3 linked regions of the Caenorhabditis elegans genome follow. The protein of the gene in region 2 interacts with the protein of the main gene of each other region in a pairwise test. Each region holds a gene or a part of one and is shown on either strand. Other genes may lie near its edges. The genes, in order: ZK1055.7, scrm-7 and F37C4.5.

Region 1 (7,771 bases), 8.2 Mb from region 2:
TGAAGTTTCACCACTCAAAAGTGGCAGTACAGAAGTATTGACTGCTGAAGCTGTCAACAACGCTGATGCATTTTTGGATGGAACACTTTGATGTAAAAGTGATGGTATCAGTTCAATAGTGCCGATAGTCACTTTATGATCGTCTACACCGTTTAAAATAGTCGCTTTCCGTGCGATTCTAAACTCTGTACTCAAAGTGTTCTTTGTGACTTCCATTGGAGGTGGAGCCATTGTTTGAAGTACTTCTTCTACACCATCATCAATCTCGTTGGAATAATTGGACAACATACGAGGCCCACCTCTTCTATTCATTATTCTCAGGCCACGTTGTCGCCTCATCTTTAGTGCAGGTCTGTAGAAGTGAGCATCGAGAACACCTAGTTCAGGAATCTGTCCTCCGAGACTAGGTTGAGCAGTCGACAAAACAGCTGGAAATTCGTTCCAGTCTTCTCCACAATGGTTATAGATCTTTCCGAAATATGTAATAGCCATTGTTGGTTTCTCAGTATCCACGCGAATATCATAAGACGGCTGCCACCCAGCTTGAAAAACCTGATAAGTTATATCCAATTCAACGTCGCCATCTTCGAAAGCTTCAAGTGTAATGAAGACCGTGCTGAAAATTAGACTTCCTGAGTTTCAACAAACATTTTGATACTGTCACGTCCTAAAAAATTTTTCTGGTAAGTTGTAGGCACTAAACAAAGTAGAAATATAAATATTTCAGCGTTTTTCAAACTGTCCTATTGAACGTTTTGATACATAAAGTTATATTTAAACTTACTGAGACATATTGGAAATTCCGCTATTCACTAAGCGATTTAACTCATTTCCAATCTTACTCGCCATTTCAATTGTTTTGAGGATCTCATGCTCTTTCTCCCGCAACTGTTCATTCAATTTATTCATTTCAGTTTCTTGAAAATCTAACAATTTCTGAAGTCCTGTCAGCAGGTTCTCATCAATAACAACACTTCCGGATTCTCTTTTAGGATTCATTATTCCTTTTCCAATTCTTCCTACTGTCCGTTCTAATCCACCTATTTTCTTTTTCAATATATCTCTCTGATCCTCTTGATTATTACGTATTGCATTGTATTTGTCAAGCTCACTTCGCAACTCGGCAATCTAAAATACATAAGTAGCTTCAAAAATCTATGTAACAGGGATTTTTTTTTACTTACCTTCGGGGAGTCAGTTTCTGAGTTTAAAGAAGGGAGTTTTTTAGCGTTCACATCACAAACTGTTGCTTTCCCACGACCTTCAACTCTAATAGAATCACTTTGGAAAAATACAGAGAAGTTCTGAAAATTTGGAGTTTTAAATAAACATTTCATTAGTTTATATATTGTAGGAATTCAATGTTAACTTACAAAATAAGTTACTAACAGTTGTAAGTTTCAATGAAGTTGCAAAGATGCTGCTGAGCTCTAACTTTCTTGGCAACATTTGAAAACTCCCCGACAATGGCTAATGGTCTTAAACGCGAAGAATTTTTAGGTACGGTACGCCGTGAAAATATTTTGATAGCGATTTTAAAGATTTGAAAATAATAATTAAAAAAAAAATAATTATAGAAATCCCATAATATAACTCAATCTATTTTATGAACTTTTAGATTTTTATTGCAAAACTATTATTAGTTCTCCGCGTAACCATTTTGATACACCAAAAAGTCAAAATTTTTGCAAATTACCAGCATTTCAAAAGGTTTCAAAAACAATTTCAAAATAATGTTTAAATGTTCTTTTTAATATTTATTTTATTTGGCTCATTTTTACTATAATTTTTTATATACAACTTTTTCAGAAAGATAATCTACACAAAATGAGTTTTATATTAGTCTTTGTATGTAAATTATTCAAAAGTTGAGATTTAAAGTGTTGGAATTTCAATAAAATGATTTTCAAAAAAAGAAACTCACTTTTAAACAAATCTCACTAACTCCCGCTTTCAAATTAACTGGTACCCGTCGTTTCACTTCAGCTCGGTCACTGAGAATTGTAATTCCACTGATTTCCTGATTTCGAATGTCAAGTTCGTAAATTGATGCCATCTATAAGCGTAGATTATTCGATGGGCATATTATAACTAGAGGTGAAGAAAGTGCAAAAAAAACATTAAAAAAATGAAAACCGATAAAACGGAAATGGGAAAATTGTAAAACAAAAATTTCTGTAAAAGATAGACGACTTCATTTAAGTATCAATTCACTGTTGGATGTACTTTAGAAATTCTCTTGATATTGAACAGTTTCATCTTTTGGATGCTCCACCACATATTTGATGATCAGATCCTTTGAGCTGCTCGGAGCCAGCTTTATAGTCCACTCCAAGTGATTGCTGGAATTGAACTTTGCCCCTTCCACAGGCTCAGAATTCTCGGCTTCAGTGCCAGCCTTCTCCGCATCATATGGCGTAGCTGCTGGTGAAACTAGCTTCACACGGATCTTCTCGTCAGTGCTACGTGGAATCGCATGCTTCACGGTTAGGAGCACCGGCTGCTCATTTCTCGTATTTTTGATGGAGATTGTTTGCTCCGTGACATTTGCAGAGTGCTTGGTGATGTAACCTCCTTCCTCATGGTACTTCTTTGCCGGCTTGTACTCCACACGAATTGCCGTGTCAACTCCCAAAGAGCAAGTGAGTCTTTCACCTGGTGACACGTTTTTCAGGTGACTCTAAAAGTTGGATTTTATTAAAATATACTCAAACTGATTCAATGAGACTAAATATTTTCATATATCATTCATTATACAATGTTTTAGAGGTTTAATGACTTCTAGTTGAGTTTTGACAAATTTCCAAGTTTTGAAATTTTCTTTTTTTTTGTTGAAAGATTCAGATCATTCTTGTATGTTCAGAGTGAAACAAGATTGAATCGATAGAAGAATTCTTACTATTAAAATTTGGTTATTTCAGCAACTTAATTTGTTTTAAATCAATTTTCTCAACAAAAAAATCTTACTGTTGCGACAAATGCATTATTCAGATAGACAGATGAAAATCCAGCCAGGAGTGCAAGTTGAGAAGTATTAACAGCAGAAGCCGTGAGAAAAGCTGCAGCATTCTTACTTGGAACGGATTCATGAACAAGTTTTGGTGTAAGAGTCACAACTCCAATAGTAACTTTGTGTTCATCAGTACCGTGTGGAATTGTTGCTTCTCTGAGAATTTTAAATTCTGTGCTCAACGTGTTTTGGGTGATTTCTGAAGCAACAGCGACAGCCATTGGTGGAGCCAAAGTCACTTCATCTGAAAATCCGAGTGTTTCGGCTCGACGGTTCTGCGGTCCCCGCGCCCCAAATAATGAGGCTGATGCATTCATCGATCTTGTTTGATAATGTTGAACTTCAGGACGACGGAAGGTTGCTTCGAGAGTTCCAAGATCTGGAATTCTGCCAGCAAGACATGGCTGAGCAGTTGACAAAACAAGTGGTGCAGAAGTCCAATCTTCCTTTGTGAATTGACGGATTTTTCCAAAGTATGTAATGCTCATGGATGGTTTCTCTGTGTCAACTCGGATATCGTATGATGGATGCCACGAAGCATCTAACACTTGATAGACTACATTCAGCTCAGCTTCCAGGTCTTCTGTGCATTCCAAAGTAATTGTGGCAGTGCTAAAATTAAGTTATCAATTTGTTGGGAAGATAGGCAAACAGTGATCTTAAATACTACAGCTTAACAATGTCAAACAATAAGACTCAAAAAATAAATTGTTTCTAGAAATAGATGGAAAATCATATGGAACTTTTCTTTATAATATTTCGAATTTTTATTAGGGTTGGATGCTTTTTTGCATATCTTCAAATCTATCTGTAATCCCATTTGTATTTGAAAATAAATAGTGCATAGAAAGCAAAGCATAGCTCATTGTGCGCCTCAAATTTTTATGGGTTTTTTGATAGTTTTTCAAATTTTTTAAATGATTCAAAATTTGGTATGTTGCCAAAAGTTTGAGTTAAGATTAAGAAAGATTTGAAAAGACATATAAAGTTGTTTTTGCCCCATTTTTAGTATATTTTGGTAAATTCCCCGACTGGCACAATTCCACCTTAAACTTTTCAAAAACTCACTGAGAGAACGCTTCTTCATTCAAATTGTGCATTAGAGCTCGTAACTCGTTTTCCAGTTTCGAAACTTTTTCCTGTTGCTCACGGTGTCCAGCTTCAACTGATCGTAGTTCTAGAAAAAAAAATTAAGTTTTTTAAAATCTCAAATTTATCGTTTAAACTCACTTTCTCTGTATAATTCGGAGTTGCTCCCATAGAATTGGAAGAAATTTGTAAGACTTTCCAAAGTTCCTTCATTTAAAGAAGCAACACCATCTTTTGGTGGATTCACGAGACCCCCACCAACTTGTTCGAAAACTTTGTCCAAATTGTCAACGCATTTTTGGACAACCGTTCCGCGATCTGTGATTTTTTGGAGGCGATTTTTCTCCTCTAGAATGGCAGCTTTGAGATTGGTGATCTTAAAAAAAAGAATATATTTTCGAATTTTAATTATCTTGCCAACCTTTGGAGGATCAGCTTCAGTTGGCAAACGAGAAACATTCTTAATAACTACATCATGAATGATTGCATTTCCTCTTCCTTCAACTCTAATTGATCCTTGAGCCATTGTTTTGCAGAGGTTCTAAATTCAAAACTACTTGAAAAACTTGTTCATATTCTACAAACCTTGAGAACAACTTCATTGACACCAGATTTCAATGAAACTTTGACAAGACGACGGATTTCAGCTCTATCAGTGAATACTTTCACCTCGGCAATTTTAAGATCACGAGTCTCGAACTCGTGGACAGATGGGTTGGTGGTCATTTCTGAAAATGACTCTTTTTAAGAGGTGTGTATTTTCAAATATTAGGAATTCTAAAATAACGAAAGTATATATCACGAATTGTTGTTAATCATTAATATCGCTGCATTTCTAAGAATATATAGATTTACGGACGGTGATACAATCTTAATGTTTACTGTAGAAAATCTGGCTTGAAGTTAATTTATTCAACATATTGGTTTGGTATTTTTCTAACTGGTCGTACATTTCTACATTAAATGAACCAATGCATGAAATTTGAAGCTTGTAGCGATCACTATAGCTGAGATCGTGGCGAGACCTACACAGAAAAATAGTGTGCGCCTTTAAACTGAATTTTAAAATTTCAACGAATATACGATATACGCATGAGAGATTATAGCAGTAGTTGTCTAAAGACAAAGATATTTTTAAAAAACATCTGTATTTTGTAAATATTATTAATGTCATATTTGACGCGCAATATATCTCGTAGTGAAAACTACAGTAATTCTTTAAAGGACTACTGTAGCGCCTGTGTCGATTTACGGGATCATTTTGACTTATCATGTAGATATAATTTATCATATTAAGCAAAAATGAGAAAATAATACGAAGAAACGAAGAAAAATAGAGTATCGCTATTTATCACTATTCGAGAATAAATACGTTTCAAAAGTCGAGCCCGTAAACCGACACCACAGCTACTGTAGTTATTTAAAGAGTTACTGTAGCCTTCGCTACGAGATATTTTGCGCGTCAGATAGTCAGATAGCGCATTACGCATTTTCATAATTTTGTGTTGTAATAAATTCAGAAACATTATATAAACTGAAATAACACACTGAAATTTCCAAAACTAAAAAACGTAAAGTTGAATATTCAAAACTTTTCGAAAAGAAACGCGACGAGATGACTAAATTTCATAACGTTGATATCAGTAAAACCTTCAAATCATTTCAAAGAGAGGAAACTCTCTATTTATACCAAAGAGACAGAAAATGTTTCGCAATGTGTTTGTGCTGACTCATTGGAGACTTAGATGCAGAAAGGAAAACGCGATAGGATAATTTTTTTTTTTTTTTTTTCACATAATAATTCACAAATTTTCGAAACGTTTTTTTTCTCCCAAAAATATGAAATACCAGTCAGAGGGTATGCAAAGTTTCTTGCTGGGTCAACAATTCAGAAATGTCAAGGTGAGTTGGGAATACAGAAAAAAAGAAATGATAAGATACTCTTCAGAAAAATTGAGAAAAATAACATGATTGAGAACTATTAAACAGAACAGGGAAGTAAACTGGTCGATGAGAAAAGAAAACGTTAGCATAGTCAATTTGAAACAACATGCGGATATATCGAAACAAGTAGCATAACAAAAACAAAACAATGAAAATACCAACTAGTGACAAATAACTAAAGTGAATTGAGGTACAGATGTATGAGCTGGGATTATTGTGGAGGTTGATGTAGCTGATGGGTAACACCAGTTTTTGTACGAATGAAATACATCTTTTTCGATGCAGTCAGAGGAGTGTTTAAGTTGAAGGAGACTCTGAAAAGTTGAATATATTTAATTTAGGTTAATAATGGTATCAGCAGAAAGGATGTAATTTTATTTTAAAAAATCGAACATTTTGTTTTTCGATCTTTTGGAAAACATTTCATTTTTATGAATAATGTCATTTCTCTGATTTGAGAGATAAATCTATACATACTTTCCTCGTATTTTTTTTGAATAAAATTTTATTTCCAAAAAAAAACAACCGAACAACTTTTTCTATTTTCTATGAGAAATACCGGAAAATCGAACATTTTATGGCGACACCTTTGATACAAGGATGTCGGTTGTTTGATTTCTCACTAAAATTAAAAACCAAAAATTGTTTAATTTTTGAAAAATCGAAAACTTTCAATTTTCTGATATTTCGAAATTTTTTTTTGATTTTTCAAAAAATAGCTCAAAATTCTTAATAATTTCACTGCTTTTTAGAAAATATTCATGTTTTATTATGCTTTCTCATCAACGTAAACATTGATTTAAAAAAAATATTTTCTGAAACATTTTTTTTCGATATTTCAAAAATCGAATATTTTCTTTTTTTAATTGATCAGCTCACGAAGGGGTATTTCTGATAACTCGTAATACTTGACCATCTTTTCCGCGAATCACACTTGTTCCATTGCCTGCCGCAGGTCGTACTGCGTAGTACCTCTTCGGTGGAGGAGCCGATGGAGTCAGTTGTTCAACAATGCCCTCTTTGGATTCGGTTTTAACGACAACAGGCCTCGCGTACGGCGATGATGAAGCAACAGTGTACACTCTCTGAATCTTCTGTCTATTCGCAGCGATTTTTGCAATTTCATCTTTCAGACTTCTTCCATGTGGTGCTTCTCTGTTTGTTCGAATTGTGGGAAACGATTGTAGAATTCGATGCGGTGGAAGTGGGTTTGGATTCTGATACACAAATGGCGTTCGTTGAGGAATCATTCGTTTTGGAGGCTCGTCTGATGGTACATCTACAATCTGTAGAGCTCTCACATCGATTGCATGATACCAAGCATCTTCAGGAGAATTGGCGTCTTTTCTTCGCTTTACGCAAATTGGTTTGCACATCAAAGATCCCTTCGAGCTATAAAATAATAATGAGTTTTGGAGATCTAAGAATTAAAATTACCGATATTCAACTAATTCACTCGCTGCACGAAGTAGCATTTTCCTTTTTGAGATATCTGATTCGTTGATCGAATGTGTAAGGATACCGTACTCTCTGTAAATGTCAACTGTATTGAAATTAAGCGAATAAAATTTCCTAACCCGAGATAATAAGCGGCATCAATCGAAAACGCTGGAATTATGAAAAGCTCTCTGGCATATTTGTACAGACGAGGGAAGCGACCGGCGTGACGAGCCCACCAATCCATGATTCCAGTTTCAACACCAGTAACTCTGCACACATACTGTGAGA
Region 2 (6,876 bases):
GGTGGAGAATTGGATCCGAATTCGATGACTTTCCTGATGAAAACCATTTTTCTTCATGTAAAAAAGACAATGGAAGAGGCAGATGAAGCTAGACGGAAGCATGAGATTAAAGAAGAACTTGATTAATTTATTTTTTAATATTTGATTTGTATTGTGTTGAAATGAATTTATAATTATTGGCAACGTAACTATTTTTTCTTGTATACTGTTTCTATTACTTCAAGACGAATTTTTTTCTAGAATGGGACCCGGCTGAGGAGCGGTTTTTGAGCTGTTGTGGAGCTTCAGACATTAATAAGTAAATCTGTGAAGTTTTAAAGAAAGTGGTGTTTGTGGTTGAAAAAATAAATTTTTTTAGAATTATGAAAAAAAAAACATTTTTTGGCACCTTCCGATTCTCCTGGTTATTTTTTTTAAATATTTAAATTAACCAGGAGAGTATTTAACATAAAAAGTAACATCACGTTCATCTCGACAAGTCGGGCCAGCAAAAAAGGACTAACGGACCAAAACTGTGGCACAGGCACAAACTAATTACAATAAATTGGATTAAAAGTATGGAATTTATTCATTTAGTTATATTTTTTTTTTTGGACCATCTTAAGATTTGAATATTAACAATTTAAAGTCAAAAAAGTTTATGTGGCTCGGTGGTATATCTTGGGCTCATAGGAGAAAAGAATCTAGAATCTTCAATCTTCACTGGGCAGTTTTCCAAATTTGGAGTTTCTGGTCGAATGTAGACGTTTTTCTTTGGGAATTTGAGAAGGAAGAAAACTATGAAAACCAAGATGAGAAGAGTGACTATGACGAGGATAAGCACGGAGTACAGAACAATATTTGAGGGATTTGATCTGAAATTTAGAACTGAGTTGATTCTTGCTTTGGTTAATGTGATAACTTACTGTTGGAATGCTGCAACTTTAATAATTGGAGTAGTTGATGGAACTTCCGAAATCAAAACTGTAGTGGTAGTAGTTGTGATTTCAGTTGTAGTAGAAGTAGTAGTTGTTGTACTTGTAGTCTTCTCTTGACATGATTTTCCATTGAAACCAGCATCACATTCAAAAGTCGATTTAACAAGAAGAACAATATCAGTGAATGCAAATGTTTGATAGCTACTATCATCAGTTTCCATTTTAAAAGCATACTTCAATGGGAAGTTGAATTCCTTTGAAAATACAATTTCAAGAGTCTCTTGATGATCTTTTGGATGAAAACTGAGAGTTCTTGAAGCTCCCATTGCCAATTCCACAGTTTGAAGACTTGAATTAGTTGAAAGATGCAATGAAAAATGACTAGAAGCAGTGAGCTCAAGACGAAGATGTCCAGTGGCAGAAACCATTGGAAAAAGGACAAGATAGAGAAATGTTGAATAAGAACACATTCTGATTGGAGAGGAGCAAATTAGACTAAATGATTATCCCGGGTGGATAGATTGCTTATATACCAATTCCAGACAAACCACGCCTTCTCTGGAAATGTCATCATATTCCAATTGTCATCCTGCACATCTTCACCTTGTTATTGGAATTACAAATGGCTGGAGATGAATGTTCCAGCTGTAACTCCAATTGCAGATATCCCAGAAAAATCGGGTATCTTGGAAATGTTGAAGATTGGAATCAATTATTGAAAAATCTTTTCAAACTCAGATTTCTAAAAATTGGTCTCAATACTGTAAAAAGTTGTTTTAAAATTAAGTAATTTCAAAACAAAATCTCCAAGAAAAAGCTTTTATTTCACATAGTAGTTCTCTTTAAAACGCTGGCATTGACTGGCAGCCTGGAGCACCGGGAATTCCAACTGGAAGCGATCTTGGGTTGGCTGCTGAAAGAATATTCATTGAGATCTTTTCCTCATTAAAATAACTGACTATCGGGAACCGAATTAGCAGCTGGTGTTCCTGGGTTTGTGTACGACGGGGCTGGAGAATTGGCAGCTAGAGAAGTCGGCTTGACACTGGTGTTAGGGGCATTCGGAACGCTTTTAGCGGTTTTACTCCTGAAAATCAGAAATAGTTAGGAACAAAACTTTGACCGGGATTTGTAACTTGCATCAGGCGAAACTCACAATGCACTTTTAGCTGTAACGGGTGGTCCGTTTGTCTCAGCCGCCTGAAAAAGAACTCTGGTAACCTGAACATCATTTCAACTCACTCCAGATCTTTGCGTTGAGTTCTCGCCCTCATCCCTCCCTCGGGCTTCTGGTTTCTTCCCTTTCTCAGATTTTTTGGATTTCTTCGACTTGCTCGATTTTTTCGAAATTTTCATGGAAGAATCCGCTGACTTCTTCTTTTTGTTCTTCTTGTTTGACTTTTTCGATGAATCTTTGCTCCTTTTCTTCTTCTCTTCTTTGTCCAACGCAGTTCGAGTACTATCCGGTATTGCATCCGAGATCGGCGCCTAAAAATCAGAAATATAGAGATTACAAGATATTACAGATTAATCAGTGTTCGGTTTTCAAAGTGTTCTGGTACTAGAAATTCAACATCCGCCTGCCTGCCCGGCATCATGCCTATTCCGTGCCTACTCATTGATTTTTGCAGCTTCCCCCTCACATACCGCTCTCATGGAATTTGTCATCTCCCGAACATGACAACTGTTCTTCTGACGGGGTGGTTTGCAAAAGCAAATGATGAATATGGTGCTCTGTAATTTATAGTTTGTAGTGTCAGTGCAATTTGTAGTCATTGTAGCTCACCGTTATCATTATGAAAGAGTTGAAGATAAAGAATGTATCCATACAAACCGCCATCACATGATTCGTTTAATAAACGGAATAAATTGAGAAATAATCGAATATGAGTATGTGGATTCGAGTATTGATTGAATCGAAAAGTGAATAGAATATTTGATTTTTTTTCTCTCACGGGAATTAATTTTTTTTCTCATCGTGTTTTATTGAAAGTTTATTCATTGATTTTTGGGTACGTTTATTTGAATACTATTTCAATTTTTAAGCTTTGAAAACAGCAATACTAAGCCTGAAATTCCGAAAAGTTCACGTTTCATTAATGAAAATATCAAAAACTTTTGGGGGGGGGGGGGGGCAGAAATCGGAAAAGTACCGATTTTTGTTCATTACTAGAGTTCATTCGTGACGAAGAAGGTGCATTTACTCATGACAATGGAAACAAAACAGGATGACGTGGAAGCCGATGGTTCTGAAGTTCGAGCACAAGCTGGAAGAGGTGGACACATGCCACAAGTTCGATCGACACCAATCGTTCTTCCAAATCAAGTGGCTTCTATGCCAGTTAGAATGACAGTGAGTTACACAGAGAAACATCATATGTCTTTGCCTTGGGACTTATTTGGTAGGCAAGTGTCTCATGTGTTTGTGCATGCCTGTCGTTTGTCTATCGGTAGGCTGAAGTTAGGTGAAAGTCGCTTATAAAGGCTACCTTCTAGGCGACACCGACTGTGAGTGTGTAAAGTGTGGCAGGGTTCAATTACCGATTTTTTAACAAATTAATTAAATGAGAAAATAAAAAAAAATCGTAAGTTCATCGTTACACCGGAGTTCATGCAAAAATGCTGTATTTCAGGGTTTCAACAACCTTCCGGCTCACAATGTTCTGGATATGATTTCTCGGACCAACTCTATGATGGTTGTTCAAGCACTAGAACCTCTGGAAATTGCAACAGGAATCGAGACGCCAAATCAATATGTTGTTCATGATATGTACTGTCGTCCGATTATGAATTGTATGGAAAGATCCAATGGATTTGCTCGTCAAATGCAAGGATCTCATCGAAGCTTTGCAATGATGTGTACAGATTTATTTGGTGCACATGTTATGCAATGTCACAGAGATCAGCCTTGGGGATCATTCACGGATCACTTGACTACACAGTTTCTGGGACAGAATATTGGAATTATGTCGAGAACTCATGGGGATGTCAATGTGAGTTTATGAGAAATCAAGTCTTTTGGCAAAACTTGGTTACCTTCTGGGAAACATTTTCACTTTCTTGGCTGAAACATTCGTGAATATATTTTTTTCAGTTCCATCTTCTCGGCGCGGGAAGCAATCAATCTCTTCTGATCCGTTCTCCGTTGTTTGCTGCAAGTGGTGGAACCAGAAGCTTCCCAGTTATGACCTACAATGGAATGAGAGTTGGTGAAATTGTTCGCCTTTATCCTGGATATATGCAAGAAATGTACTCTGATGCAGATACTTATATTGTGCATTGTAAGTAGCTTCTTTAAACTAATTTAATTCTCAATTTTACAGTCCCAATGGATCTTCCACCAATCTTGAAGCTTTTGCTCATCTCGTCTGTATTCCTTATCGATTTCACATTCTTTGAAAATAATGGACAACAAAATAACATGTATCGTGGATATGGAGGATCACATTATGTTAGACAACGTTCTTACCATAGTGGATTCTCTTCTGGATATTTCCCTGGATTCTATTGATTTTTTGGGTATTAGTGTGATGTCAAATGGATTCTTTCAAATTCTGCATTTTATTTATTAAAAAAGCCTTCGTTTCAAATATTCTTTACCTTTCAAAGTCTCGTTCAGAAATTGATTTAAAAGTTTCCACAGATTTCATTTTCAAAGATGCTATATCTTTGATTGAGCTGTTTGTAAACCGTATTCAACTTTCCTATAAAACGTTTCACCATGATTTTCGTCCATCGCCTTTATTATAACGGTGACTAAATATTCATTATTTGTGTTGAATGTAAAATGGTGAGTCTTCAAGGATTACTGTAATTTCTAACGTTTTGCTGTTGCGTCGATTTTTTCAAATAGCTTGTCAAGTTTCGAAAGAATCATGGAAAGTGAAAAATCAATTTGAAAAGTTAGTAAATTACAGTAATCCTCAAAGGCTCCCACCATTTTGGATTTAACACAAATGTTCGTTGCGATGCATCGTATTGTACCTTTTGAGCAACATTTCCCTTCTGGTTAATATTGCGAAATCCTCATAAAATCAAGAAAAATCTAAAAAAAGCGAAAAACTCTGCTTACAATTCAGATCGCGGCGAGTCCCGTTCAATATCATTCGTGCGCCTTCGAGCACGAGTTCCAGGAGAATTCCAAACTTCGAAGAGACATAATTTTTGTATTTTGAAGACTGCATATTTTAAAATGTTAATACCTGACTATGACTAATTTCACCTTTTAATTCTAGAATGATTTACTTTTCAAAAACAATGCAATTATTTCAAATATGAAAAAGCTGCAAAAATGAATAAAATTATGAAGCTGTTGGGGAAGGGGTGGCAAAAATAAAATGCATGAATCAAAACCAGGAAGGAGATCACAGGATGACCAAAAATGACTAATTTGTAAAATTGTAAACCCATGATTTTTAAAACAAAAATAAATAAGTAAAAATATTATGGGTACGCAGAAATATGTTTTTTACGGATTCCAACCTGATTCAATGTTCTGGGGCTGATCTCTCCAATGTGGCACTGTACCTAGATTTCAAAGAACGAATTTTTCTACGTTCCCATAATAAATAACAAATAGTGAAAATATCTTAGAAGAACTCAGTCGCCGGTGGCTTCTCTTCTTCTTTTTTCGTTCCAATCAACGGATCCAATTGTTTGCTCACCAATTTGTAATAGAGTCCTTCTGTATTTTTCATCAGCTCCTCATGGTTTCCCATCTCGGTTACATTTCCCTTTTCAATTACAGCAATTCGATCAGCACTTCTCACAGTGGATAAACGATGAGCAATCACCAATACAGTTCGTTCACGAGCACATCGATTTAACGCCTCTTGTACCATAGCTTCAGACTCTGAATCCAGCGCCGATGTGGCTTCGTCAAGGATCAGAACACGTGGATCACGGATCAAAGCTCGAGCAATTGCAATTCTTTGCTTCTGTCCTCCAGACATTTGGACTCCTTTTTCCCCGCACTTGGTATCATATCCCTTCTCCATTTTAGACACGAATTCATGAACATTCGCCATTTCAGCTACACGCATCATATCCTCATCCGTTCCATTTTCAAGTCCATAAAGGATATTTTCTCGAACAGTTCCAGAGAATAAAGTTGGTTCCTGTGCAACTAGTGCAATGTTTGTGTGATAATGGAGATGGTCAATGTTCTGAATTGGTGTTCCATCTATCAAAATTCTTCCAGATTGTGGAGTATAAAATTGTTGAATCAAAGAAACCAATGTCGACTTTCCATTTCCACTTGGTCCAACCAATGCAATAGTCTTTCCTGGGTCAATTGATAAATTTATCTTATTCAGGACATTTGCATTCTTGCGAGTTGGATAAGCAAACTCAACATCTTCAAAGATAATGTTTCCAACAATTTCTGGTGTCTCGGTTCCGAACTCATAGTCGAGTTCTGGTTGGCGATTCATGATATGGATTACTTTTCGTGACGATCCAATGGTTTTCATGACGTCAGAGAACAAGGAGCTGAATGCCTGAAAAGAAAAATAATTAAACTAATTTTTTATTTCTAGAAATATTGCATACTGTAAATAATCGAAAATCACCCAAAACGGAAATTTCAAAACATAACCATTTAAAAATTTCTAGAAATATTTATATGATTATTTGAAGTGTCGAAAAAAAAACAGAAATCAGTGCTTAACATTGCAGGATCGAAAAAAACTGCCAACATATTGAATTTTTGAGTAGACAGTAAAATTATAAACTTTTAATTTTTCAGTTCCTCCAATTATACACTTGTCTAGTTATCAGCTTTTTGGCTCATTCTCGAATTTTTTTTGGAATACAAAGCCATTAATTAACTATGTAACAGGCGCTTAAAATGCGACAAAGAGAGCTGTTTTTTGTTGGTATTTTTGAACATTTTTAGTGTTGACTTTGACTAGTGGGGAAATTATTATATACCATTCCAATTTTTTTGCACTTTGAATTT
Region 3 (7,390 bases), on a different chromosome or scaffold from region 2:
TCCTTTGCCCACACTTGTTTTCTATTTCTTACCACTTGTCATTCCTCTCCCCTAAATTCTTTCCTTTGTTACCAAAAAATCGATAATCATGCAAAACGTCGAATATTCCGATAATTTGTTGTACTTTCACGAGTTTGATCGAATTGTGAGTGTCAGGGTTTTCTCGGTAAATAACAATATTTTCGTATTCCAAGTTATGTGATTTGTGGTTTTTCAAACCGAAAATGTAGTTTTCCTTCAGAAACTAATCTCATAAATTGCAGAAAAATCTAAGCATGGGACTATTACGACCAAATTTCGAGGAGCCGACGGCCAGATTGATGCCAGGACCGGTGGTAAGTATTTTGGGTTGCAAATCCGCTCTATTTATAATTTGTAATACTCTGTTGTCAATGCACCCTAGCGATACTTGTGCAAAAGCGGCCTAATAGCAATAATGGTCATTTTGATCAAATTTTGTATAATATGCGAACGCGCTCTAATGATAACTTTCTTGTAATAAATTTTTTTTGTGGTCAAGATGCATTGACACAATGTTGACAAATTTTCAATTTTAATTTAAAATGCGCTCTAATGATAACTCTTGTTAAAACATCAAACGCGCTCTAATATTGACAAACTTTTTAAAGACTCAATTGCAAACATGCTCCAATTATAACTTCAATTTTGGTGTTGCAAACGCGCGCTAGTGATAGGATCAGGTTTAATGTTGCAAATACGTTCAACTAATAGTGAGAACAGTGAAATCCTAATAGCAAAAGTTATACTTTCTCCCGGAAACTGTTCCATACATGTAATCTATCGATTCCAATCACAAAACAAGGCCACATTGGAGTAGTCACATGGGATTCTCCTACCTGCCTCCCCGAGGCAGTATATCCGAATACTTGTCTCTTTTTTGTCGCAATTTTGCGTTTGAAACTGTAGCTTCGAACCTATAAAATATGTATTTTTAATTTAAAATAAATATTTGCAGACTTCTGAAGAAGAAGAGGAGTTCTCATCAAACGAACGACGGCGTTATAAGGCTTATACAGTAATGCAGAAGGCAGGATTTCAGCATACCGAGTAGGTTAATGTAGCAGACGACATTCTACGGGTACCCACGAAATGTCGGTTGCTGGGTAGAAAACTTAGGACTCATCTTAAATAGGTCACAACTTTTTAAAAGGATTTTTTGTCGATGCACCATGTTTTCAATCAAATAATGTCAAATGAAAAACATAGTTTATTATATGTTTCTTCTTTTACAGTAGAAAATTAGTTGATAGCTTCAAAATGAAGGTGTGGGCTCGCGAAATTTTTTAAAACCGATTTTATGCCGATGCACCATGCCTAAAGTTCTTTTTTTTAGATACGCCCAAATAATGGTGCACCTGTGCCGCGCGGAGATCCTCATCTCGCTCATCTTTTTGGCTCATGGCACCACATGCCCCGGCTACCCGACAGAAGCCGAATACCAATCCACGTGCCATATGAATACGGTATCAGCAATTGTCAGCTTGCTCACCGGAGCCATGGGATTGGGCGCTGTGCATAGATATCGGTGGAGGACCATGCTAATCTTGTGGCTCGTTTTTTGTATCATGTCGGCTGTCGGAAGTCTGCTAGCTGTGATTACTACAGGTAAGAGAGTTTTTTGCCGAATGGCTTATATCTCGATCAGATTGAAAGTTGTTCAGAAATTTTTCAACAAAGTTATACTTTTTTGATATCCATTAAAGTTGAGTAAAACTAAAACAATGTCATTTTTCTTCATGGTGCATTGTTGAACATAGAAACTGATACAACAAGTTGTTTGTCAATAACTTTTGGATAAAACCAAAAAGAACTGAGATATCAACTCTCAAAATCAGGCAAACATGGTGCAACGAAAACTTCATCTTTGGTTTTATAAAAATTATTAGCTAACTTTATACACTGTTCCTTTAAAATTAACCGAGGTATGGGATTTCAATTAATTTTTTTCTCAGGCATCTGGCTCGACCACTACTCAAAAATGAAAGTCCGCACGGCAATCGGCAACGGGTTATCCGGTTTCATGCTTTTGGCATCAGTTGCTCTTGGAGTGTGCTTCATCTTGACCGCTGTCATGATTTGTCATTATTGGAACTCCAACACCACCGGCTATCAGCCAGTGCAGAAAATTGCAGTGAGTTGACAAACCTCGTTTACTTTTAAAATTATTACCAATTTACATATTGCAAAGTTAAGAAAACGTGTTTTAATTATTTCGCCAATTGAAAACTTTTTGACAAATGCAAAAAAGCTCTTAAATCACATGGTGCATCGAACCTTGTTCCAGAAATTTCCATAAACCCTTTGCAGAAACGCGCTAGATCTCTGCGCCGTCGATTGAGCCGAGCAAAGAGCTGTGACAAAAAAGATGCAAGACCTCCAACCAGCAATCCAGAAGATAAGGGTTATCATATCGTGTGATTTTTTTTGTTCTTTTTTCTAAATTCCAATTCCATTTGTTGCTCAAAACGGGTCAATTCCATCATTTCAATCCATTCTGTGTGTCTCAAAGAAATCAATAAATTCTGAAATTACACATTTATTTTACATATTTGGCGACATTAAAGGAATTATTTATAAATTATACAGATCAAGTTAAAGCGGAAAAATCATCGCATAAGCACTTCAGAACTTCTCCTCATAGCGAATTTGCTCAGCCTGTGGGTGCTCGGTAGTGTACTTGACGACGAAAGTGCTGGACTGTCCTGGCGCAAGTTGGACGGTGTAGTCGAGAATCTTCTCCGGAGTGATGGCGGCTCCGACGGTTGGCTCGACGCTTGCCTCGTCGACTTCCACGGCTTCTGGGGTGTTGAGGTGGACCTGAAAAATGGGAAATTTAGGGGCTTTTTATGTATTCAATCTTTACCTTAATTCTAGAATCTGTGGATCTTGGCAACTGCTCGCGAATGGTGAGAAGCACCGAGTTGGGGCGAAGATTAGTGACGGCAGTGGTCTTCTCGGTGACCTGAGAGTTGATCTTCTCGACGGTTCCGCTCTGTTCCTGGTAGTTTCTGACAGGCTTGTACTCGATGCGGATGTTCGGGTCGACGCCCAACGACACCTCAAACTTTTGCGATACGACCGCATCTTCGAACTCGGTCTTGTTGACGAATGCTCCGTCGAGGAAGATCGATGCCTGACCGGCGACGAGTGGGTAGTCGGAGGTGTTGACCGAGTTGGCGACGAGGAACGCGGTGGCGTTACGGGATGGGACGGTAACGTTGGAGAGCTTGGTGTCGAGTGTGAATTGTCCGATGTTCACCTTGTACTCGTCGGTGCGATCGTCGATGGTGGCGGGGCGGCCAATGCTGAACTCGGAGGCAATGTTGCTGGACTTCACAGCCGCATAGGACATTTTCATGGATTTTCTACTTCTACCCATTTCCATCATCGGAGCCGCGCAGGCCATCACCACTGAATCCTGAGCGTAACCACCTCCATAACCTCCTCTTCCACCTCTGTTACATTCTGGTTCGGGCACAACAATCGATGCCTCGAGGGCTCCGAGCTTCGGAAGTTGCTTAACTCCGTGAGCGGGTCTTGCGGTTGACAACACCAATGGCACTGTCTTCCAGTCTTCTCCACTGTACTGACGGACCTTTCCGAAGTAGGTGACGTGCATCTCAGCTTCAACACCAGCAGTGACGCGGATGTCGTAGAACGGGGTCCAGGAGACGTTGTTCACTTGGTAGGTGATGGTGAGCTGTGCAGCACCACCGGCTTCTGACTCAACAATAATACTGGCATACTGAGCAGAGTTTCTCCATCTGTATCCGGTATTGTCGTAGTCTTGGCTAGCACGGGCGTACTCTTCCTCGGCCTTTCGCAGGTCTTGATCCAGGGTTCGGATCTGAGCGCGAAGATCCACTGTTGTGTCTTGATGGAATCCGTGGAGGGCGTTGAGACTTTCAATTGTGCGCCCGTCAAAATGGAAGGCGCCGTCCTTTCCGTGCTTGGCGACTTCGGTGATCAGATTGTCAAGTCCCTCGATGCGCTTCTGTACGGCAACTCGGCTATCGGCAACCTTGTCCTTGGCGCGTTCCTTTTCCTCGAAGATCGCCTTAATTGCGAGAACCCGCTCCGGGATCACAAACTCGGCACCCTCCTGGTTCTTGACGGAGACGTCGTGGATCACAGCTTCGCCGGCTCCGGAAACACGGATCGAGTCCTGGACGAGGTCGAATGGGAGGTTCTGAAAATTTTTTTATCACATTGTGTGAGTGTTTTTATGACTTTAACTTTGACAGGTAAGGTAAATATTGGAAATTTCGATGGTTTTGTTTGCTTAGCAGTAAAAAATGCAAAAAAAAATTATTTTTTCTCGTATTTTATAGCCCTTCACTCACCTGAACTTTAACCTCATTGTAGCCATGAGCCAACTCGACCTGGAAAGTTCTCTTGAGCTCAGCGCAGTTCGAGTCGGAGCTGTAGACGAGAGCCTGGTCGATGGCGACGTCATGGAGGGTGAGCTTGTGAGTTTGCACGATGTGAGCCATTTTTTCTGGAAATTTTGAGGTAAATTTCAAGGGAAAATTTGAAAAAGTGAGGCTAAGACGAGAGTTTAACAAATAAAATTCTACAAAACTGACTATTTTCTATTTTTTTTTCAACAAAAAAAAAACACAAGCAACTTCCGAATTTCTCCCAACACAAAAAAGAAACAAACAGAAATTGAAAGTGTTCATTTTTACGTAGATCAAAAATGTTCAAAATTAACTACGATTTTTTGAATTAAAATTTCATCTTGCAAAACACTGAAAAATCTAATTAGAAAATACAGAAATTGATATTTTCCAACAAAAAAAATCACGTAATTTTCAAATTTCGCACATTTTTTAAATGTTGCTAGAATACTGTGAAATACTACAAATTACAAATTTAAAAAATTGTTTCATGATAAAATTCCCGAAATTTCAAGTTTCGCAATAATATCCGAACTTTTTCGAAAAAAAAAAATTGAAAAATGTCATTACTTTCGCTCGTTTTAGACAAAAAATTTGCAAACTAGAGCTATTTATAAATGGAAATAAAGCTTTGAAGCTATTTTTCCCCGGAACTCACCAAAAATATAGGAAACTGCGATTTTGGCAGAAAATGTATTTGAAATAAAATGAAAAAAAAAATCGAATTCCCAATAATTTTTTTTGAGTAAAATACGATATTTCACGTATTTCGCAATCTTATTTTTCGTATGTTATTTCGAGAAGTTTTCTAGTTTTGAAAAAGCCTTAAAAAAGTAAAAATGTAAGAGAAAAAGCGGAAAGCAAAGCTCAAACGATCAGAAAACCATGGGAAACCCGAAAAAAAAATCTCCATAGAGATTTGAGGGAAACACTCCTCTCAACAACTAACAAATTGTGGCGTTTTGGCCGCTCTTTTATACGAGTTTTTGGCATTTCTTTCGCTGTCTCTCTATCTCTTCACAAGAGGCAGCAGACAACACAAGAAAAAGGTCAAAATCAAGCGATGGGCGGCATTCTGTTGTGTTCCGATGAGTTTCTCTCGGTTTTTTTTTCGAAACTGAGACGAGTTCAACCTTTGACCAAGTGGCGATGAGTTTTCGTACTTGCTGTGTTGGCGAAAAAAGATCCTGCGGAAGGAGCTGTAAAACTGGGAGCACAAATCACACTAGACTACTCAATAAAAATACGAATTTCACAAACTACAGAACCACAGCTTTTTTTTTGAAAATTTCAAGACAAATCTGTGGAAAATTGATTTTTAACCTGAAAAATAGAAAAGCTTGACAGTTTTCAATATACCAAATTACAAATGTTTGCTTTTTTTCAGGTATGAACATAAATTGGATATAGTTTTTCTTTTTTTTTTTAAATAGAAATTTCAACTATTTTTTGAAGAATTAATTTTAAAATCCAAAGAAAAATACATACGTAAATTCTTTTTAAAAATCTGAAATTATTTCCCAAACTTTTACGAACATTTTTGAAAATTTCTATAATTTTCTGAAGATTTCCCGCTTAACATTTCTAATTCCACCAAATCACTCAAAAATCAAAGGTCACCGCAACTAAATCGTGAATCAAAAGATCACTTCCTCGTCGTCTCCTCAGCAGTTTCGAAACACACATTTTGCAATACATCATGGTGTTGGAAATGTTTTTATGAGTCACTGGCGCAAGACAAACAAAACAATAAAAAACCGCGAGAAGAGACTTAGAACGTTAGAAATGTTTGAGGGCATGAAGTGCGCTCAACCGACCGGGGGCTCCAGTCACACCACCTCCCGGGTGAGCACCACTTCCGCAGAGGTAGAGGGACTCGATGGGCGTTGAGTAGTTGCTCCATTTGCTGATCGGGCGGGACACGTACAGCTGGTCAAGGCTCATAGATCCGTGGAAGATGTTCTGAAGCAAATTTTGAAAATTGAGCCTTAAAAATGGGACCTACCCCTCCAGTAATCCCAAAAGTGTTCTGAATATCGGGTGGGGTCAAGATGTCATAGCCTATGACACTTGATGAAAAGTTCGGTGCATAAGCGTCTATCTCCGAGAAGACGTGTTTCGCGTATTCTGTCTTCTTTTCTTCCGTCCATTCACCGTCTTTCGGTGAGAAGGGAGTGTACTGGGTAAAGAGGAGGACGACGTGACCATCAGCACTATCCACAATGGTTCGGTCGACTGAAGAGGGAATTGTCATCTCGATGACTGGTCTGCAAACTTTTGAATTGAAGTTTATGGCGAGAATGATGGTATCATGAATTCTAAAAGGGGTTTTACAAATTGTCAGAAATCCTGAATCATTCATCGAATTTAAAATATTTATTTGATCAGAAAAGGAACTGTGTCTATTCACGAAGTGTCAGAGTGCGCCATGTTGGTTTGATCTACGTAGATGTACGCAAATTTAGATGCAGTCTTCTCAACTGTTTCGCATGCTTAAAAACGTGCTGACGTCACATTTTTTGGGGAAAAGTTTCCGCATTTTTTGTAGGTCAAACCGTAATGGGACATGCTGACACCACGTCTTCATTCGGATTGTTAATAAAATGTTTAAATTTTACAAATTCCCTGTCAAAACTTTTACTTTAGCTCAAGAAAACGGGGGAAAATGTTATGACACTGAAAACGGCCGCGACTAGTCGAATCCTATACGTAGTGTTAGGATGTCCTATTACGGTTTGATCTACAGAAAATTCTTCAGAATATTCGGCAGTTTGGACCGCAACCTACCGTACCCACAAAGATACAAGACAAATTATAGGTTTAACAATTTTCAAATTGCCGCCCACCGATGAAAACCCCTCTGAACCAACTAACCTTCTACTATATCTCCCGTTCTTATAATCCATCACCGCGTCATGCACCACTTGCATATTCTCACAGTTCATATGAATCGTCGTCTGATGATGTGG

The links.
Region 1: the proteins of scrm-7 (region 2) and ZK1055.7 interact in a two-hybrid assay, tested with the Caenorhabditis elegans proteins (one large-scale study listed by BioGRID).
Region 3: the proteins of scrm-7 (region 2) and F37C4.5 interact in a two-hybrid assay, tested with the Caenorhabditis elegans proteins (one large-scale study listed by BioGRID).

The regions. Positions count from the first base shown.
Region 1 is NC_003283.11:6,600,549-6,608,319, forward strand, and holds ZK1055.7 (Protein F37C4.5), read right to left. Parts: upstream 4,828-7,771; 5' UTR 4,826-4,827; coding exon 4,685-4,825; intron 4,641-4,684; coding exon 4,521-4,640; intron 4,476-4,520; coding exon 4,241-4,475; intron 4,188-4,240; coding exon 4,079-4,187; intron 3,623-4,078; coding exon 2,968-3,622; intron 2,681-2,967; coding exon 2,228-2,680; 3' UTR 2,188-2,227; downstream 1-2,187. Other genes in the region: ZK1055.6 (Protein F37C4.5), read right to left, coding at 1-616, 785-1,128, 1,185-1,304, 1,925-2,056; gon-14 (HAT C-terminal dimerization domain-containing protein), read right to left, coding at 6,255-6,357, 6,923-7,435, 7,481-7,573, 7,621-7,771.
Region 2 is NC_003283.11:14,775,962-14,782,837, reverse strand, and holds scrm-7 (Phospholipid scramblase), read left to right. Parts: upstream 1-3,096; 5' UTR 3,097-3,123; coding exon 3,124-3,270; coding exon of another isoform or gene 3,271-3,367; intron 3,368-3,413; coding exon of another isoform or gene 3,414-3,469; exon of another isoform or gene 3,470-3,502; intron 3,503-3,550; coding exon 3,551-3,910; intron 3,911-4,011; coding exon 4,012-4,198; intron 4,199-4,240; coding exon 4,241-4,428; 3' UTR 4,429-4,635; downstream 4,636-6,876. Other genes in the region: Y50E8A.12 (THAP-type domain-containing protein), read left to right, coding at 1-126; Y50E8A.11 (Integrin_alpha2 domain-containing protein), read right to left, coding at 629-854, 906-1,345; Y50E8A.10 (uncharacterized protein), read right to left, coding at 1,760-1,830, 1,877-2,004, 2,074-2,117, 2,160-2,405, 2,565-2,651, 2,704-2,757; haf-7 (HAlF transporter (PGP related)), read right to left, coding at 5,507-6,415.
Region 3 is NC_003282.8:3,869,288-3,876,677, forward strand, and holds F37C4.5 (Protein F37C4.5), read right to left. Parts: upstream 4,520-7,390; 5' UTR 4,515-4,519; coding exon 4,365-4,514; intron 4,211-4,364; coding exon 2,885-4,210; intron 2,839-2,884; coding exon 2,644-2,838; 3' UTR 2,544-2,643; downstream 1-2,543. Other genes in the region: F37C4.4 (Transmembrane protein 196), read left to right, coding at 264-335, 977-1,068, 1,355-1,626, 1,974-2,152, 2,329-2,439; F37C4.6 (Pyridine nucleotide-disulfide oxidoreductase domain-containing protein 2), read right to left, coding at 6,201-6,383, 6,427-6,688, 7,296-7,390.